Arabidopsis thaliana: one gene and its partners. The protein of the gene in region 1 interacts with the protein of each later gene in a pairwise test. Each region holds a gene or a part of one and is shown on either strand. Other genes may lie near its edges.

Region 1 (6,242 bases):
TTCTCCAGAATTTTTCCTTTTGACTCTAACTCATGTGACCTCTTCTCTAGATGTTTCTCCTTCGACTCTATTTCTTGTGACCTCTTCACAAGATCTGATTCAATTGAATCAAAATGAGATTCTAGATCTCTCCATGATAGCGTGAAGGACAATACATCAGAGGCTTTAGACTCGGCCTTCATCAATGATCTACGAAGACGCTCTTTCTTCCACTTGGCGACTCTTAACTTTTTCACTTCCATTTGCACACACTTTCTTCAACGCCAAGCTTTCTACTACAAAAAAAAAACAGAGAATGAGCCACAAGGAACCAAAGAAACCCTAGGAGATAACAAGACAATCACTCACAATGACGTACACAAAGTGGCAAGCGATCTATGAACTCGAAATAATAGGTCCTTTGAATTCAGAAAAGACCAAGAAATGGATGAACACAGTAATCGCGGAAACTAAGACACGATATCGAACATTTGATCATCTACAGAGAAGAAGATAGAAAAGAGAAATATGCAGAAAGAAACCTTGGGAGTGCGAACTCTCTCTGCTTGATCCTTTTTGGCTACTGAGTAAATGAGGATACAAGTTTCATATAAACCTTTTTATACCCTTTTTACAAATTATTTTCTACAAACATTTATTAGTTACCTTATTATGGCTTTTAATTCAACTTATTTTATAGTAACTAGGTCTCTTATCCCTAAGAACAGAAATAAAATTATTAATGGATTTCCTTAACTGTATTTCCATTGAAGGTATCTAAACTACCTTCATTAAAATCAGACTCTGCTCTAGACGACTAGACATGTGTTGGAGGTGCTAATGAAATACATTAAAATTTGGGTCAAAATTTTTATTTTCTTTCTAAAAAACATGAGAAAAATGGCCCATTTATTTTTCTCACCTCAGGAACCTCAAATTTATTGAGCTGGAGATTAAAATCATACTAAAAATGAAAAAGCATGAGAGAAATTTTTGTTTTAAGAACTCATAAGTGAGGCATCAAGAGGAAAAAAGAAATGAAGTCATAGGATGGATTATGGTTTTGATAAGGTAAGTGAATAAGCGCCTATTTGCTGGATTAAGTGGCATAGTCGTTGGGAGTTAATTAAGGACACCCACGGGCCACGGCCAAGTATGAAAATTGTAGTCTATCTATCTTGAATGATCTTTTCGCTTGGATTGACTAGAGTCTCTCGTGGTCCCAGACTCTTGCCCTAAAAAATCTAAATAAGGAAAGTTCCTTATTTAACCGGTTTAATGCCCGTAGTAAATATTATCGGTTTGTGAGATGGTCTGAGCCGGTCCGGATCGGGTCATAGGGGGTCTGGGACGTAATCAAGCTGGATAACTCTCTTGGGTTGGGCCGTAATCCTTCTTGGGTCGCTATTTGGTCACTATCGCAAAAATTGGCTCATATAAAAAGGTTTGTTGAAACATGCCTTGGTTTTTGTTCTTGCAGAGTTTCTGTTTGGGTCACCTTCTCCTCCTCCTCTTGGATGGACATGGATTTAAGGTCCACAGCGGGTTCAATTGCATCTCCGATAAACTAGATATCGGTGCGTTTTTCCACAGCCAGTCTATGTAATACAATGTAGCTTCATTCTTGATACATGATTTTTATGACTTCAATGATGAGACTGAACATTATATTGCGCAAAACAAAACTGATGAAACCCTCCATGTCAAACGATTTGTGATGAGTTTTCGGTAATCATACGTTATATAAAGCTACATGATGAATCCCTGAATGGCTAATTCTAAGCAGGGACGTAATAAAAACCTGTCACAATTTTCTAAAACACACTCAGAAAATAAAGAGAGAGTGGTTGATAACGCAGAGCGCAAGCGCATAAATCAAAACAAATGAAGTAGATCATCATCTTCCGTGAAGCTATAGACCGCAGAGAGAGTGAGCCTGCAAAAATGTTTTATGGACTCGGTAAGTAACTTCATAGTAGAAGAACCAAAGTAAGTGAAGATGTTAATAGGAAAGCTAAAGCTGTAGTTTTTTTTACCTAAAGACAACCATGATGAAGAGAAAGACGTAGAACCCGAGCTTGGTATACCGGAGCTTCTTTTCAAAGCTGATACCACGGAACACTTCAGTGACATCGATGAGATAACGTCGCTCTTTGTATCTGAAGAACAATGGGAGGCGCGTATTTAGTTTCCACGCATGTCAATCAAGAATCATAAGCAATATGGATGGATATAGATACTTACAACATTGCGTGATAGACTGTTACAGGGACGGCGACCAGAAAGAAGACCCAATGCCATGTGAGGAGGAAGAGAAGGCAGAGTGACCCTTGGAGGATAAACTCAGGTATTACTAATCGGTTGATACGGGTACTTGTTTCAAAAGGGTTCAAGTAATCAGCTTCTAAATCCGTTAAGCAGATAACCTACAAAATCACACACGATATCAATAGACTAAAAAGGAATCTCAATGCTTCAATCATTAGCAGAGGCAGTTAGTATGAGAGTAAACACTATTGGTAGTAGTATCTAACTTCATTCATTCACAGTATATAACTCGCAATTAATCAACTATATGTCTCAATTGACCAAGTATCATATACAAGCCTTGCAGACAATCCAAATCAGAACTAAGAACAACTTTGAGTTAGAAGCATAAGATTAAGGATAAACAATGAAACCTCTCTGGACCCAAAAAATTGTCAATTGTATTTAGTACAAAACCGACGAACACAAAGGAAAATTGTTCCATTCCTAATTTTTTAGCTAATTCGAACAAAAAGCTAAGTTGCTCGGTGTTTTTTCACAAGTACAATTCCGACAATCAGGATTTGAACAGTAAGGACAGATCTCGATTTAAGAATCTTAATGGAAAGTAAAAGGGGACAAACAAAGTAGATAGATTACCTGGTAGAAGACGGAAGCGACGAGAGCCAAGCTAACGAAGAAGGAGACTATCCATAAAAACAAATCCCAAGCCATATTTGCTCTCTTCAACAATTACGATTCGTCTTTTTGCGACTGCGACTCTTCTCCTTAAATACCTTTGAAAAAAAAAGAACTCTTCTTCTCTCAACAATTGGTGTACTTTACTTTGGGGTTCTATTGGACATTAGATTCTTCTTTCCTTTTTATTATTACTTCTCTAGTTTCTTTTTGTGAATATCCTTTTTGTTAAATTCCTTTTTCTTTTTCAACAAAAAAAAAAGATGCTTGGTGTTAATTAATAAAGAACTAACAAAATTTATTAACTGTATGCCATTTAGGCCTATACAAGCCATATAAGTAAATAATTTCATTTTTTTCTTCTCTTTTAGAATAATTATTTGGTTCTTTTAAATAAGTTCACTTGAAATTTGTTAGTTCTTTATTTAGGCCTATACAAGCCAAAGGATCCGTCCACTCTCCTCTTCCCGAGAAACTTGGTTGATACCGTACGTTTATATGTTACATTGTAACAAAGGCTTGTTTAGTTATCAACTGATTATGATGCATTACTCGACCTGATTGTTTTTGCAGGTGGAGAAGTCCTAGGACCCGGTGATAGAATTTCTCTTCTTCTGAAGATCCAGACGACATACACGTGGGACCCTGAGCTTTTGAACTGGTAAACTCACTGCTTTTTTTGTTGTTGGAAAAAAGACAAAAAGTAAAAATACACATTGTTTCCTAGCAAATACACATTAGTCTTCAACTTCTAAGAAGCAACAAATGTGATCTAATTTACGCTAAAAACATTGGTCTCCATTACAAACACGAAACCTAAATTTCACAAACTACTACATAATCTTTATTTTTTTCTAGACTTCTTCGATGATCTCCGGCTTTCAACTTTTCTCTGAGCAGCTTCGAACTCTTCTTCGTTTGGCTCAGAGTCAGCATTGCTACCATACCTAGAGACAAGTGAAGAGAACATTGAATCGAACTTCTCTTTCCTCTCATCTCCCCGCTGGGACATTACAGCGTATAAATCTTTATCTGCAGCCTTTGCTGCTCTGAAAGTATAGAAATTTTGAAACAGGTCACAACAAAGATAACTTCAGAGGGCATTTATTGGGGTGGAAAAGGTAGACAAATAGAAGCTTACTTCCGTCTCATCTTCTGGGGATTCGTGGGAGGTTCCATTTCTGCAATCTCCTTTGCCCATTTCTTGTAAGCTTTTGTTGATTTCACTTCTCCTGCAGATGTTAAACAATGGTATGCACAAACAAATCAGAACCTGGATAGGTTTTATAGACAAAAGAATTATTGCAAGAAAGAGAAGCCTACCCGCTGCAATGGCCTCATCGATAATATCTTTGAAACGGTGCGAATCAAGCTTGGGGTTCGAGCAAAGCATTGAGCAGAAAAGCCTGAAAGAGATATAGTACCAATAATGTTTATACAAACTTCAACTCACAAACTTGACAATAATGAAAACAAGGGGATGATTAATTACCTGCTCATTTTACCCTTAAACTTGTTATATAGCTCAATCAAATCATTCTTCTCGGATTCAGAACCCCTATAGTTGGCCTCAAACTCTTCAATATCTTCCTCGGTGACCTATAGCACAAATGATCAGTATACAGAACGAAACAGTTGTGTTGCAAAGTCCAAAAAGAAATCAATTGTGAATCATGATTCTTACCTTCTTGTACATTGCCTTGAAGAAGTCCCTCAAGTTGTCAACCACATCTCCCGAAAGATCCTAATGAGATAGGGAAATAACCAGTTTGTAAGAAAATCCTCCAGTACCTTTACTTAAGTTGAAAACTTTCTTTCAACTTACAGCATCATCAACTGAGCCAGTTTGATCATAGACTGCTCTTTTCTCTTCATCACCGAGAATCGAAATAACCTTTTGCAACTGCTGAAATTTCTCTTTAGCATCCTGTATTGGATAAGAAAAACAAGAATTCCGGTTACAATGTAAAATTGAATAGACCCCTAAAAACTAAGAAAAGTAAAGAAACCAAAACCCCTCAGTTAAACCTCATCATCCTTGTTTTTATCAGGATGAAGCCTCAATGCTAACTTATGATACGCTTTCCTTATCTCTTGTGGAGATGCTGTTGCTTCAACACCAAGAACCTTCAACAAAGACGCATTCATTAGTTCGTTTCACTGAATTCTACTAACCACCAAGAAAACAACTAAGAATTGCAACAGCTACGGTACAAATTGATCAAACCATGGATCTTAACCAAGTAAAGTCTCTTAGCCTCTTACAATCCCAACAATAAACAATGATATTCAGATTATCACAAAAACATCATCAGACGAATCAGCACATGAAAATCGACAAAACAATCTTAAATTTCGAAGCATAACTGGAACAAGTCCCAAATCCAGAAACGGAAACCCTAATTGGAACCATCGGATAAAGAGAATGTTGAGATACCTCGTACAGATTTTTCTCATTGGATCTTCCATCATTCTCCATTTTCAACGTTCTCGTGTAACTCCTTCGCCGAGAAAGTACACACCAGAGATAAGTAATGGAGTTAAAATTTTGCTTCTCAGAAAATTTATGGCGCCAATAAATTTCCATTGCCGCCTATTTTAACAAGGTTATAACCTAATCTGGTATAGTAGTTAAACCGAACTTGATTTGGTATGATATCGATTTTGAATTAATTCGTTCAAATTGCGCCGGTTATGTTTACGTACCGTGCCATTAGGAAATTGAACGGTGAATAAGGTACGAATAAAGTAAACGGCCAGGATGAATTGGGTTAAGGGTGATCTATGGCACAGTAGAATAATTCCTAGAGTAAAGGGTCCCGCATCGGCCGTTAATCCTCTCTTTCTCTCAATCTCTGAATAATTTTTCGCTTTCTCTGCCTAACCACCATTCATTGTGATCTGAGTTTCTGTGTTCGTCTGATGGTAGATTCGACTGTTTCACGCGTGCAATACGAATCCGAGACTCTTCGCCTTTCGTATTCGTGATCTGGAGATTTGTGTATATTCATTCTCCTTTGTTGTTGTGTTTTTAAATAATAATAATAAGAAGAAGAAGAGAGATGTCTAATTTGTATGGAGATTATAACCAAAAGATCGATTACGTCTTCAAAGTCGTGTTGATCGGTGATTCTGCCGTTGGCAAAACTCAGCTTCTTGCTCGGTTCGCTAGGAATGAGTTTAGCGTCGATTCTAAAGCCACCATTGGTGTTGAATTCCAGACTAAAACGCTCGTCATTGATAACAAAACCGTCAAAGCTCAGATTTGGGATACTGCTGGCCAAGAAAGGTTTTGCTTTTTTCTTCTTCATTCATTA
Region 2 (8,594 bases), on another chromosome or scaffold:
AATTATATCCTCCTATTTTAGTTGTTATGTTAAATTAATTACTAATTATGTATTACTTATTTTATGAAGTCTAGGTGACAATCTCTCATGTGATGATGTGTCAAGTTGTGGGAGAGAGTTAGCCTCCTTTCATATATATGATTTGCGATTGAAGACACACACACATATATATCTTAATAATTATTTATTAACAACTATATAAATATATTCACACACAGATACTATATGTACTATATATATAAAAATATAAGCATATGTTTTTAAGTAGATATATGCATATATGTTATGCTACTTTTTTCCAAAGACAATTTGTTTTGGTTGAAAACTCTAACAGTAAAATAAATATAAGTTATTAATTTATTTTTAAACAAAAATTATTAATTTTAAAGTGTTTGACAAAAATAATAGTAGAATTAAATAAAAAAATAAAAGTTGAGTGTAATTGTGGCCTTGACACATATGCATCAATACTGACTTTTTAATGTATTGAAGATTTGGTCAACTCAAATAATTTATAAACATTGAATGTTAGTTCAGATAAATAAACAAAATATTGTAGTTTGGGAATTGTTTTCTTTTCCTTGAAATACACTAATTCTCACACGCAATTTTGGTAACTTACAAAGACTTTTTTTGACTCTTGACTGATTCATTCAAATGCCTAATTTCATATATAAAATAACAAATTTCTTTCTCAAATGACCACATACTCAATTTACAAAAAAAAAAAAAAAAGAAGAAAGATGAAAATGCATCACATTCTCTCGATAGTTTTGGCAATTATACTCGCTTCCTCCGTTGCAGAAGCTTTTCTCGATGAAAAAACTCAACAAAGGGTCAACGGAATCTGCAAGCAGACAATGGATACCAGATTTTGCAGTAGTCTCTTGATCAAGAACCTGAATACTTTTCCCGCAAGTAACAAAGAAATCATGAACGTGACAGTAAGCGAAGCTGAAAGGTTCGCGGCCAACACTTATTTCTTCATCAGCACGCTTCTCAGGAATGCTGGAGACGAGAGGCCTGATCTTCAAGCGTGCGCCGAAGCTTACGCCATTGTGAACTCGGCGTTCACGAAAGCTGTAACCTTCTTCAAGCAAGCTTACTACAGTAAGATTGTCAATATCGAAAAGAAAGTTTCTATGGCTGTTGATATCTGTAAGACAGATTTCAATGTGCTCGGTTATCAGATCAATCCGTTGATTGAGAAAAACAGACAGACGAAGATCTTACTATCCATGGAACAGATTGTTAGTCATATGGTTTCTTCATAATCTGATTGTTGTTGAATCATGACATAGTAGCAAATGTTTCCAGAAATATTCTAATTAATAATGGTTACAGAATCTTCTTAATTGCAATTCTCTATATGCATATATGTTTTTAATGGCGATGCTGATGCTGAGGTTGAATTGAACTGAACTTGATAAGGATAAAAATAAACACTTGGGATATAATATAATATATCTTTTTCTGTAAGATCTAATTCTGTTTTTGCTTCTATGAATTATGACCTTATGGCAAAATCAGGTGGTCAATAATACTAATAAATGTCCATAGTGTTTGTCTTTGACAATTAAGTCTAACTAAATCGCATGTGATTCTCCATGTTCTGTATCAAATCTACTATATCTATCGATTACAGGTACATGAACCGAGATAAACCTTGCAACTCGTAATCAAGAATGACGAAGAAGATTAACAAAACAGAACAGCGACTCTGTTTTGATTCGTATATAACACTTGAGTTACTAAACCAGGATTAAACCGTTACAGCCAATTGTAATTGACTTGCACGAACCGAAACCCTCTGTTTCAAGGCACTATTTTACATTTTGGGTCTAAATGAATATTGAAGGTCTGTAATAACTTTCACCCTCTGACAAAACATAAAATAAATTACTTGAAGACTATGATTTGATTTGTTTTGGGGATAAAGGAAATAGGTTATTAGAAAGAAAATAAGATAATGGAAACGATGAAGATTAAGAATACTGAATATATATAGAGATCAAACAGGTGATATTTGTTGTCCATAGGATGAACACACAAATCAACACTCCATCATTAGCCTCAAAATGGGATACAAAATTAAACACTCCGAAAATCCAATTTAGTTGCAGTAACTTAGATAACAAGAAATCCCAAAAGGTTCTTCCATAGCTCATACTTATATATGATGAAGAAGCAATCACCATTTTAAGGCGATGTAGACCTTGTGGAACCATTTCCACTACTTGCTACCGGTAATCTCGATTCAATATCTTCATTACTTTCACTCTTGACTTTATGGTTTTGTTGTTTCACCTTCTCCCTTTCTTCTTCCTTCTCACTCACCTCTCTGTCTTTCCCCCACAATACGCCATAGAGACCAATAACCACAAGTGCTGATCCCATAAACCTAATATACATATATCATATAAATTCATCATCATCATCTCGTTTATATAATGTTTAAACACACAGAGAGATAGATAAAGATGTATAGAAACATACGTGCCGGTGTAGAGTTTCTCTTCAAGAAGAGCCCAGCTGAAAATGGCGACAACTACGAGAAGTAAAGGGCTGAAAACAGAGACGTACAGAGGACCTTTCCTCTGCATAGCCCATGACATTAGGCAGAAAGCTAACGCAGACGCCACCACTCCCTGCATGATCCGTGTTTTATACTAGTGTCATATATTTTTAGCTTAAGATTGTTATCTAATGATCATAGTATATGTATGTGGACTTACGGCATAAAGGGCGGATATGAAGCGGAGAGGAGAGCTGAGAGACCAATCAGAGATTGTATGATCGGAGATCAAAGCAATGGCTCCACATTGGATACTTCCCATCAAACACATTAGTAGTGTGCTCGTGTACGGTGCTGCAAATGTTTCACTCATCTTCGTCTGTAACCAAAATAATATTTATCATAACCAAATGAGAATTTAGTTTCATTTTCCATTATGTGGGTTCAAATTGTTTGAAGCTACATTTTTTTTTAATTAAGTAATTAAGTTACCTGGATAATGAACCAAGCGGCCCAAGAAACGGCAGCAGCCATAATAAGAAAAGGTCCCAAGAAGAAATTAGAATGGCCAGAACTGGAACCATGTTTCGTGATGTTTTCAGCGTAGGCCCAATGGATCTTGGATTCTCCAATGCCGATGGTGTGACCATGGTAGAAGGAGAGAACCATGGCTCCGATCACACATACTAGCGTCCCTATCACTTTGGCTTGTCCTGATGCCTTCTTGATCCCCACGGTTTCTTGTCTGAAAAGAAAAAAGTCTTGTGTTAAGCAATAATCATAAACGAGTATTGTCTGAAGGAAACTTAATTAAGATTAATTTCATATAACCTGAATATTGCGGCGAGGAGGAAAGTGACCGCTGGTAAGAGATTAGTTAAGGCACAAGCAATGGTCGGAGATGAATTCTGAAGTCCTACGAAATATAGCACTTGGTTTCCAGTCGCACTGCAAAGAAAATCAATGTAAATCGCTTTATAACAAAGTAAGATTGCAATTAGTAGGTAAAGTGTATGTAAGATACCCAGTAATGGAGCAGAAGAAGACTTGGACAAGAATCCTAAGTGTGATCTTCGGTCTTGTCTTCCTGCACAAGAAACCGTGTATGAAAAATTTATGTTTTCATTAGTCCACTAATCATTATTAATCAATTAAAGCATTTCTCATTGAATGTAATCATGCAACTAATCCTAAAACCACCCGGTTAAGTTAAACCGAGACTCAAGAAAACAATCAAATTCACTTCTCATATCATATGAAGAGATTAGAGTGGAGAAACAGAGTAAAAAACGTAATTGAAGAAGCACGTGTCTTGGCAAATGAAGATGGCACGGCACCTGACGACGCTTAACTCACCTGGCATCATGATTTGTTTGTCATCATGTGCTTCGGTTTAAGAAAGAAACGTGACGCGTGGATTGTGTGAGACTGCGTCACATTTCTCATTTGTTTCTCTCTCGGAAAACGGAATTAATGATAATGTAACTACTTAGGTTTCCACATACCACCAAAATCATTGACGGTACCATGATTATGAAAAAATAACGGTAAATACTAATCCCAATAAACAAAAGAAAAAAGCTAGTGTCTACTACATTTCAACTAATTAATCAGCGTCACTTTACCACTTTTTTGTCTTTTTTTTCTTTACCACATTTTTCTTCACATTCTGAATTAATATTATTCATCAAGAAACTTATAGCTTACCATATACCATTATATGCGTATTCTATCGTAATCTCCGGAAAATAAGACGATGTCGTGCTAAACTTTTTTTCTTAATTATTAGTTTAGTGTTTTTAATTTTTAGTCTTCTAAATGGAGGTTCATTTGTTGCCAAAATTGTAAAATAATAAGAAGTAAATTAATGAATTTAAATCTATTCAACGTATAGTACTGATGAATTAAGTTATTAACATATATCAAAAAAAATCTTGACCACAAAAAAAAAAGACTTTAAGCATGCAGTACTTCTATGTCAATAAATTAAAAAGCTTGATTTTTGAAACTTTTGGAAAGTAATAAATTTAGGTGACGCAAGAAAGTTCAAAGACGTAAAAACGTTCTACATGAGACTCACAAAGCCATTTAGTAAATGGTTTTTCGTCGTTAATATTTTAATATACGCACTCACCATTTTGACGTTTATGTTGATGAATATGATTTCATCATTTTCTACTTTCGCAGTTAAGACAAACTTGAAAACACAAAAAAACAATGCTAAAAGAAAAATTTAGCTAATCAAAGTTTAGCATTTCTTGCTGATCTTTGTAAAACATAGACTCACCACCTAAAACCTAATTACTTTTAACCCCAAAAAAGTAATAAAAACACCCATATGCTTTATTCAAGAATTAAAACAAATTCAACATTTCATCGATGCAATTGTTTTAATCGTGTAATTCATACATGTCTAAAATCGTTAGTTGATCAAATAAGATGTATATGGGCAGATATTAGTATGGTTTTTTTTTTACCGTTCGAGAAAAAATGCGACCGGAAAAGTGGCGATAGTGGCAAATATCTGACGATAAGCGACCAGGATGAGTGGCTTCATACCGGCCTCCATAGCCATCTTCGACGTAATGTTCATGCCTGCGTAGCCGATTTGCACCAACACCATCGCCAAGAACGGCAACATATCTGATTTAGCCATCTCTCACTCTCTTTTATTTTATTCTTCCAATTTATGTGTTTATGTGTATCTCCAAAATATGCCTCTCTCACTATTACTAATCAATAATAATAGGTCAAGAAACCAAGAAAAAAAAATAAGGGAGAGAGGTGGATTCTCTATATCATTTATTAGTTTCCCCAAATCTATATTTTATTTTGGTTCGACCTTATATTTATAGCCAAAGATGTATATATACACACATTTATATATACATGCACATACATATATTTATTTATATACATACATATATATAGAGAGAGATGTTTTAAACAGAAAGGTGAGAAACGGTTCGAGAATGAAGTTTGCTTGTAACACTTGGACTCTCTTTAGGGCATAAGAACACGAAACAATAGGTGATATGAATCATTTGATATTTTTGGCAATTTATTTAAATTTTCTCCTTGCTGATTACTAATACAATCCAAATTGGCGTTTTGTCAAAAAAAAATCTAACTTATTTTCCTCGTTTTAATCCATTTTTTTGGTTTCCGTTTTTTCATGGGTTTGGTGGAGCTTGTGAATGTCTTTCTCAAGCTTCAAGCAATCAATTTGCCTTTGCTAAAACTCGTTTCTGTGATATTAAACCAAGGGCTTGGTTTATCGCTTGATTAACAATATCGAATTAGTATTATCTTACGTATTTTGAATTGATTTTCATTATATCACTCTTGCTTTTTGTCAAACTTTTGTGTGTGTAATATATATCATAAATGGTAAATTAACTATTTATATCCCAAAAGGGTTGGAAGTTGGGCATGGATTATCGAATATATATTGAATGGCATGCATCTTATGCAATATAAATATAACTAGGTAAGTATCCGCAAAATGTATGCATCTAATTATTTCTAAAATTTAATATATAATTAAATTCATGATTATATTATTACATGTTTCAGTTCGACTGCATACTGTATATATACTATATATTTTTAATGTATGAACTAGGTAATCATTTACACAATGGGTTGGACATACGTAATTTAAGAATATCTTTGAAAATAACTGGAATTTATATCATTAAAAAGTAGGATATAACTAGAGTGGCTAGTATAATTTTCAGAAAACTAATTAATTTTTAATTAAAAACTATACTGAAACATAATGATTTATATATAAAACTTTAGTAAACTAAAGTAAAATGCATAATGAAAACTTGTATAATATAAGAAAATCTCATATACAAAACAACATATATTGTTGGGCCAATTATTGGTCTTAAAAGGCCTCATTTATTCTTAAAAGGCCTTTCCTTAGGTGTACAGTGACTTCCTTGAGCAAGAATGTCATTTCATATGGATAGAGATAAAACATTGGTCTGTAGTCAGCACATAGGTATACCAAACACGTTAAACTTTTTTGTTGGCTGAAATTTGAGAAAGTAAGTGATGCTTAACATTTTGCTGGATATCAGTGGTTAATTTTTATACGAAATGCTTTTGGAGTTGAAGATGAATAAATTATGAGTAATGCTCCATTTGCATAAGTCAAACAAGCTAGCGTTGGCGTCCAGATGATTAATTTCCGCGTCCTCTTTGGCTTCCAAGTTCCAACGTAAATTTTCGCCGCATATTTTTTCGATCTTATCTTTTCGTTGTTACGTACAAAAGGAAAATTCCATTGTACATTCGTTTTGGATATATACTTTAGGATGCATATGCATATTTATGTATGAACAATTAGCATCTACATTGGAGCTGGAGCCAACAGTAAGCTTGAGTTATGTGTCTGTCACTGTCAACCACCAACATACAAAGTCTTAGGCTTTGTTTTTAAATTCACTAAAGAATCACACTCACACACTATAGCTTAAAATAAGAGAAATAAGGCCCACACACTTAAGGCTTACCATTATTACAATTTATTACAAAGCTTTCGATCTTCACTCTATCTTGATCAAATCTCTACTAGCAAGTTACAATGGCTACTCTCTCTCTTCACTCCCACTCTTTCCTTCTTGTTCTCCTTCCGTTTATCCTCATTCTCCGACAAAACTTGGCAGTGGCCGGAGGATGTCAGGTTCCGCCGGTGATTTTTAACTTTGGCGATTCCAACTCCGACACGGGTGGACTCGTCGCCGGACTCGGATACAGCATTGGTCTTCCTAACGGTCGTTCGTTTTTCCAGAGATCCACCGGCCGATTATCCGACGGACGCCTCGTCATCGATTTCCTTTGTAAGTCAACTTTCTCTTGACTTTTTTTAACTCTAGTTAATTATTTAGACGGTGGAGATTAGAGGTAAGTGCAATGAAGTCGTGACAACCGTCCGATGGAATAGATGTAAACCTTAATCAACGGCTAATAATTGATGACGGTGATCGCGTTGCGTGATGCCACAAAACGACACAATTCACTCGTTGAAATGATGAAAATCTAATCCAAAGAAAAGTGGGTCCCACTTACCAACATGGGAAGATATCACAATCAAAAGTGGGTGCCACCATGTAGATTCGGCGCGTGAACCCACTCGTTACATTAGATTGCGTGACTAAAGAGTCAAACAACGCCGTATAGTAAAAGATGCGTTCTGTTTTTTTTTTTTTTTTTTGGTATCAATGTTAAGTATGCGTTCTGTTTTGTCCAAATCACATGTTATAAGGTTTCATATTTTAGTCATTTATATACTATAATGCATGAAAATATTTTGTTACTAACGATATGCAGATTCAAGTTAAATTTTGGTGGTTGGTAAAGTTGAAATGCAACTTCTATATCTAACTTCAAAAGTAAATATGAATCTAATATTCCATTCTTTTCTGACATATTGGCAGGCCAGAGTTTGAATACAAGTCTATTGAACCCATACTTAGACTCATTGGTTGGATCAAAGTTCCAAAACGGTGCCAATTTCGCAATTGTTGGATCTTCCACTCTTCCCAGATATGTTCCTTTTGCTCTCAACATTCAGCTCATGCAGTTCCTCCATTTCAAATCCCGAGCACTCGAGCTTGCTTCTATTTCAGGTATCTATCTGATCGTAATTAACTCTTTAGCAAAAAAATAGGTAATTCACTAAAGGACCCTTGCATTATGTTTTGCAGATCCTTTGAAAGAGATGATGATAGGCGAAAGTGGATTCAGAAACGCATTGTACATGATCGATATCGGACAGAATGATATTGCGGATTCATTCTCCAAAGGCCTTTCTTACTCCCGGGTCGTCAAGCTTATTCCAAACGTTATTTCCGAGATCAAAAGTGCCATAAAGGTAAGAACTAGAGTTTGTGGGTTTATTCTGAATAAAACATGCTAGAGTGTGCTAAACAATAAGTCTTGATATTGGGAGAGAGTTGAAATCTTTTGTTAAATTTGTTTTGCAGATATTGTATGATGAAGGAGGGAGGAAATTTTGGGTTCACAACACAGGACCATTAGGTTGTCTGCCTCAGAAACTTTCAAT
Region 3 (7,001 bases), on another chromosome or scaffold:
CACTAACATATCGAAAAACATAACACGACTTATTCTTAATCACCCCTTAATACAATAATAATGCAAAAACACACAGTTTCTTTAGTTAATCACATGACAACTCTTCCTGATCTCACCATTAAAACCAGTAAGAGGCTGAATGTTTCCCATGTTAACCATCGACTTTGCGAATTGTTGGAAGAAAAGTCTCTCGTCTTCGGCATAAGCTTTCACTAATGCACCAGTCTTGCCTACATTGCCAGTGAGAAGCACTTCATCTGATGTCAATAAGCCTTTGCCCCATAGAAGGAGCTTGAAGTATGTGTTGTCGAATCTTGCAGGAGAGGCTAAGTCTAGAGGTGAAATATTGTTGTCACCGCCTGTTGGTGGACAAATTGACCTGAGACCATAGTAGTAAGACCTCTCTAGCGTCTCGTCTGGTTGGTTATTACCGTTTTGATTGTATAGTCTTTGTTTAAACGTTGTGCACCTCGCTACTCCAATCGTATGTCCTCCTGCAACATTTTGGTTTGGTTAAAAACGTTGTTATCATTCGGTTTTAAGAAACCGGTCTCGGTTTGGTTTCCTTGCCAACTCCTTAAACAAAAGATAAATACATGTTAATCTCACCTGATAGGGAAACAAGGTCTTCTTCGTTCAAACCTTTACGTTGGAACATGGTTAAGAGATTTTGAATAGTTGAGTTAGGTGCAGGAATGTTCGTGTTTGCGCCATTAAGGCTAGCGGTCCTCGAGTCTCTCCTCCCTAGTGGAAGCTCCCATGATGGTCCACCACTCTGCATTGAACCACAAATTCGATAAATATAAGCTATATAACTTGTAACTGAGCCAATAGTTTCTCTTGAAGGTCTCTTAATTTTACCAGTATAGTTGAGCCACGAGCAGCTAGAGCTAGAATGTCGGCGCAGGAGACAGTTTGAGGACAAGCTTGCTCAAGTTTGGCTTTGATCTCGTCGATTACTTGAAACCCTCTAACGGAGTTCTTGTTTGGTCCAGCATTCTTTTCACTTCTTATGGTTGCACTATCATCCAACAAGATTGATGCATCACAGCCCTGTTTACACACAGAGTGTAGTGTATAAGTGTTAAGCTTAAGAGACACATAAAGGGAAAACAAAAATAGGTAAAGATACTTTTACCTGAACGAAGCAGTCGTGGAAGTGAAGTCTGAGTAAAGATGCTGCCATTCTTGGTTCTTTAGCTATGGCTTTTTCGAGCACCGTCATAACAATCTCATCAGCTTGTGGACAAGAGAACTGGTAAAATTGTGGGTAAAGATTTGAGTAAAAAGATCCTCCAATGGGACTATTACTTCCCCATCCAAATCCTAGACCTGGATGAGCAACACTAACATCAAAAGAGAACAAAACAAAGAGCACAAGAGTAGGAATAAGCTTTGAGATAGCCATTTTTGTTACTTGGGAGTTTTAAGATGAGATAGTAGTAAAACGGTGAGGGTTTTTATACTTTAGAGATTCAAGAAGCTAACTGCTCTCAGTTTACCAAATCCTAATTTAGAATGTTAAGATAAAAGAGAGAGACATAGTCAACTTGTCCTTATTATACCTCATTGTTGTCTTTTAGAAGTCCTTGTACCAACTCCAAGAACGAATCCATGTGCCTAACTTCACATGTGATCCCAACAAAACCGCCTTGTACCATTGTTAGGTAAAGCTTCTCAACCATAAGCATCTGCACTGTCTAACCTCTTTGTGTTCTCTGAGAGTTGAAGTTTGAAAATGATGAGTGAACTGCTACATTGAGAAAACAACTCTTACCGAATAAAGATTTTCTCTTCATAAGTTATTTACAAAATCAGACATTTAACTTATATCCATTCTGCATCCAAGTCTTTTAGTCACAAAACAAGACCATAGCAATGCAAATATAGCTTGTTTCAATGCTACAAAAATTTTAGTCACATTGCTTCAACCATATAAACGGCTTTAAACATACACTGAAAGAAAATGTTATGGTAAGTGTTATTACAACGACACAGTTTTTGTGTCTGGTATAGAAAATAACACTGTTGTTTTGTTCTAAGCTTTTAACTTAAGAAGTACAAAAACTAATGCTTTGTTACTATTAAGATACTGCCTAACTCGTCCAAAATAAGCCATGATGTTGAGAATCTGATAGCTGCAAACCAAACAAAGTGTAATACCGGCGATCAAAAACCACCATCATGGTTTGTATAATCACTCACTTTTCTTGGATCCATCGGTTCCATAAGCGGGATTCGCAGTTTCAGATGAAGCTAAACTAGAGTTGTTAGCAGAGGTATCTGATGATGCCTCTGTAATTCCAGCTGAGTACTTTTTGATCCTCAATGAAATCAGAACACTTGACAGTATCCCAAGTACTGGGAAAACATAACCCCAGACCTGACTTTTCTGTTTTCCAGCTACTGAAGCCACAGCCATACCAGCGAGGCTACCGACTGATGCGTTCTGCAGGATCATCGGGAGGCAGCCAATAACCGTGGGGAACAGAAAATCAGCTACAAACCGGACTTCAGTAGCTGCCAAAGCGTAGTTTATGACATAGGAAGGAATGGGCGAGAACCTTGCAAGAAGAACAAACTTCCAACCATCGCGCTCAACTCCTCTTGAGAGAATATTGAAGTACTTGTTGCTATGCGCCCACCCTGTAGCTCTGGTGGAACTCTTAAAAACAAACCTGAAAATTCAAAAAAGTATGAGAGAATGCAAGTGCTCCCAATAGATAGATAAATAAATAAAACTGCATATCACATTGCTAAGGTTAATCAACATCCTAGTTGCATTCTCCTACATATATTAATTGGCAATTAGAATCACAGCATGCATTTAACAATTAGTCCATACATATCCATCACATACACAAGAAAACAACCAATCTCATCCACACACCATTATAGAATAGGAAGACATGCATCTTCTCCGCCTTTTTGGCGAATAACGGTGTTAGTTTTCCTCTGAACAGCCAAAATGACATCATTTCTTTACACAAAGATCCACTTCCTATAATGCTTAGAGTAGAATGGATTTTCGTGAAAACTTCTGTATACGGAGGTTTCAGCGATAGCAGGACAATCAAAACCAACAAAAGAGTTTATTCTACATCTCCAAGTAAAATCTCAGAAATCGATAACTTAAACTAAATCAGAGTGTTACTAATGAAGCATATAGTTTCTATGAAGCCATGTAAAAATCCAGCATAAATGTGAATATTGCAAATCATTCCCTAGCATATATTAACAAGCAAATGACAAGCATCTAACGGTTCTTTACATCTCCGTCACATACACAAGACAACAACCACTCTTATCCAAACACCATTATAGAATCTGAAGACATCCATCTAAATCTCGCAAGAAAATATCATGCATCTTCTCCGCCTTTTTGGTGAACAACGGTGTTATCTTACCGCTGAATAACCAACAATGACACCATTTCTTCACACAAACATTCCCTTCCTATCATTCATGCTTACAATTTAATGGATTTCAATAAACGTTCTGCAAAAGGTTTCAACAATGGTGCACTAAAGAAAAATCTAAACCATCTCCAAGTAAAACCTTAAGCATTCACAAAACACGATAACATAAACTAAACCAGAGTGTATTACTAATGAATCATATACTTTCTACGAAGCCAAGATAAGCCATGTGAGAATCATTGTTCTAAATCCAAATCATTTCGATCAAATTCGTACATTAGCGACACAAACTAACGATCCAACAGATCAATTTGAATCACATAACAGTGCAATTGAGAAGCAGACCTGCCGATCCAGAAGGAGAAAGAAGCGGCGAGAACTTTAGCAGAGAAAACACAGAGAAGAGCAGGAAGGAAACCAAAGAGCATAGAAGCACCAGCTTCAAAGAAGACGGCGTGAGGGAGACAAAGAGCTAAGGTTATTGTGTGAACCGCTACATACGTTGGAATCGCCCAAATCCCCAGCCGATCTGACCATTCCTTTAGCTTTTCCAACGCCGCCTCTTTGTTCCATCCGTATTGTGTCGTGCCTTGTCTAACGATTATTGCAATTATCGCCACCGTCGCTGCGATTGCTAACCATTTCTTCATCACGGAGCTCTGAGATGAGAAGAGAAGAAAGCGTGAAATGAAATGGGGGAACTGGTTTTTGGTAATTGTCGAAAGTGATTTTTGAAAAGGGTAAATTGCAAGTTGAATCCTCAAAACTGCAATGTTTTGGAAATATACCCTTGATCTTCTAAAATTGCAAAATGAGACTATTCAACTCTCCACAATATAACACTAATTGACTAATTACAAGAAAAAATTATCAAAAGTGAAAACTTGACAATCACGATTTATTTTCTATAATTTTTCATTTAAATTATTATTAATATTATGATTGATGTATTTAAAATCAATAAAAGTTTATAATATTAGGAAAATTAAAATAATATGCGATGAGTTATATTCCGAGACGGAGTTATATGGCGGAACGGATTTGAAACAATATTAATAAGTAAATAAAACATCATTAACCTACTACTTTAATACAGATGAAATTCTTATTTTATTATTTATTAATATCACTAGTGTTAGACATATAACATCTGTCTAATTAATATAAGATTGTACAAAACAAACTTCTTATGTGGTATATCGTTACTTAATGACAATTATAAAATATAAATATAAATATAAATATCATATAAATGATACAAATTACAAGTATCCTACTATATTATTTGGGAAGTACATTTTAAATTTAACCTTAATTTTTGTAGTTAATTACATGACAATGCCATTAGAAAAATTTAATCAAAAACAAAATCCTTTAATGACGTCATTAATTACCAAAATCTTTTAACGACAATATCCTCTTATTATTAAAAGGGAAGTACAAATTGAAATTTTGTCTAATTTGGCCTCAATTTTGATTTCAATTTTGGATTTTGTTCTTTGCTATTCAAAATCATTAAGGGTAATTTGGTCTTAACAATCTCCTAAACTTGATATGATCCGATTCAATCTAAACCGTTCAATAATTTTAATTCACTTCAATCTAATCCGTTCAACAAAAATAAGTAAATAACAAAAGAAAAATTAAACACATTTTAACACATTCTTCTTATCACTAAATAACAACCAAAAAAAAATCTCAATTATTATTTAGTTATGTCTGATTAAAAAATTTATATTTATAAGTTTAGGATATCAAATTTATTCAAATATTTAGTATAAGAACCAAATAAACCGATTGCCCGCGGTAAACCGCGGGTTAAATCCTAGTTCATCTCTTAATTATAGGGCTTATTTGATTTAAAGACGGGTCATCAAAGATTTCCTAAACTTAAGCAAAATATACTGAATATTCAAATATCTATCTGTTACCAAATTATAAACAAATAAGTTCGTAAAACAATTTAATATTTTATATACGAAATCAACTAAATCTTAATCACATAAAAATTAGCACAAAAAAGTATTCAACAATTAAAAAATTATCAAATCTCTGTGTTATATAAGTTTTTATACTATATTCGAATAAAGTGTAATATATCTTTTTAATTTGTATTCTTTAACTAATTTAAGCTAACTAATATATTTGCTAATCTTATACCTATCAAAACCGACTATCGTTTCTTATCTCTATAGTATTTTTGCAAGACTTTTTTGGTGGATTTGGGTAAAAGTGCATTCGGGTCATATGGTACATTCCCCTATTAAATAAATATGGTGCACTTCTATGTTATTAGCTAAAATGTTTAGATTATAATTTAGAGTCATATCATAAATAAAATTAATATTAATAAAATAAATGGCTTTTTGGCAAGATGGATTTGGAGGGACGGGTTTTTGAATCAACATTAATAAAAAAAGTAAAATATAATTAAATCACCGTTTCAATACGGGTTAAATCTTTAATTTATTATTTTTTAAGACCATTAATATTAAACATATCAAATCATCCTAATTTAGAAAAGATTATATAAAACCAAAAATGTTATGTGGTATGTATAATGTTAGTATATATAAAATTAAACTATAAAATATAAAACTTTAAGCTAAAAATTGTGGTAACAATTATAAACTGTAAAATATAAATATTTTATAAGAATAAAATTTGCAAGTTTCAATATATCTTACTTTTAAAAAATAAATCGTCCCGCGATATACCGCGGATTAAAATCTAGTTTAAATATGATACACAATCATAAAATTTTAAAATTTAATATTTCTGATAAAATTAAACGGATTACAAAAATACATTTTGGATGCTTGTTAAGTTAAGCTTCTTATTTATTCAAGGTCAAAAAGATTTACGTCTTTCTATTCATATTTTTTTTTATAGTTTACTAGGGGGTATTCCACGCATTGTGTGGAGTCAAAATTAATATAGTAAAATAAACTATAATTCTAGCTTATCATATATTGCTTAACTACGCGTATTAAAAATACACGAATATGAGGCACATGAAGATGAACATGAGTATCTGGTTAATTTGCTAGATGCATGGACAAATGTCTCCATTCTCCTGGTTCCTCTTATGATAGTATGGTTTACCAGATTTTTTGTGGTACACTAAGTAGTGTGATGACATGTGAGAACTGTGGAGACATGTGATGACAAGTCAAGAAATTGCAAAACAAATCGAGCAATTTCTTGACTTGTTGTTAAAAGTAATGAGGAGATTAACAAAAAAAGTTGAAGAATCATTTGATCGTATTAATATTTATATTTGCAATAATCTAAGCGTCAAAATATTTAGATTTTCAGATACTTAAAATAATTTTAGGTATTTAATCTACTTTTGAGTAAATTTGAATACAAAAGTGTTCAAGGTTTTTAGTTATTTTCTGTATTTTCGAGTAGTTTGGATATATTTGGTTTTAAAATTTTGATTTTTGAGAACTTCGGGTAACCAGTTTCCGAACCCAAAATATCGGACTTGACCCCGATCCAAACCCAAAATTTAGAAATACCCTAACGAATGGGTATCCAAACGCCCACTTCTAATCCCGAGTGACTTATTTTTGGAAT

The links. Proteins that work in one complex are often made in the same cells at the same time.
Region 2: the proteins of AT3G12180 (region 1) and UMAMIT25 interact in a protein complementation assay, tested with the Arabidopsis thaliana proteins (one large-scale study listed by BioGRID).
Region 3: the proteins of AT3G12180 (region 1) and AT1G44960 interact in a protein complementation assay, tested with the Arabidopsis thaliana proteins (one large-scale study listed by BioGRID).

The regions. Positions count from the first base shown.
Region 1 is NC_003074.8:3,880,183-3,886,424, reverse strand, and holds AT3G12180 (Cornichon family protein), read right to left. Parts: upstream 3,096-6,242; 5' UTR 2,962-3,095; coding exon 2,887-2,961; intron 2,406-2,886; coding exon 2,224-2,405; intron 2,139-2,223; coding exon 2,016-2,138; intron 1,916-2,015; coding exon 1,855-1,915; 3' UTR 1,561-1,854; downstream 1-1,560. Other genes in the region: AT3G12190 (golgin family A protein), read right to left, coding at 1-242; AT3G12170 (Chaperone DnaJ-domain superfamily protein), read right to left, coding at 3,770-3,974, 4,067-4,157, 4,249-4,331, 4,418-4,524, 4,610-4,669, 4,751-4,852, 4,954-5,052, 5,363-5,512; RABA4D (RAB GTPase homolog A4D), read left to right, coding at 5,988-6,214.
Region 2 is NC_003070.9:3,024,152-3,032,745, forward strand, and holds UMAMIT25 (nodulin MtN21 /EamA-like transporter family protein), read right to left. Parts: upstream 5,399-8,594; 5' UTR 5,172-5,398; coding exon 4,993-5,171; intron 3,603-4,992; coding exon 3,540-3,602; intron 3,464-3,539; coding exon 3,347-3,463; intron 3,261-3,346; coding exon 3,008-3,260; intron 2,895-3,007; coding exon 2,736-2,894; intron 2,649-2,735; coding exon 2,497-2,648; intron 2,402-2,496; coding exon 2,200-2,401; 3' UTR 1,911-2,199; downstream 1-1,910. Other genes in the region: AT1G09370 (Plant invertase/pectin methylesterase inhibitor superfamily protein), read left to right, coding at 744-1,274; AT1G09390 (GDSL-like Lipase/Acylhydrolase superfamily protein), read left to right, coding at 7,113-7,368, 7,966-8,157, 8,236-8,402, 8,515-8,594.
Region 3 is NC_003070.9:16,996,644-17,003,644, reverse strand, and holds AT1G44960 (SNARE associated Golgi protein family), read right to left. Parts: upstream 4,200-7,001; 5' UTR 4,070-4,199; coding exon 3,765-4,069; intron 2,679-3,764; coding exon 2,198-2,678; 3' UTR 1,911-2,197; downstream 1-1,910. Other genes in the region: AT1G44970 (Peroxidase superfamily protein), read right to left, coding at 82-494, 610-775, 862-1,053, 1,139-1,408.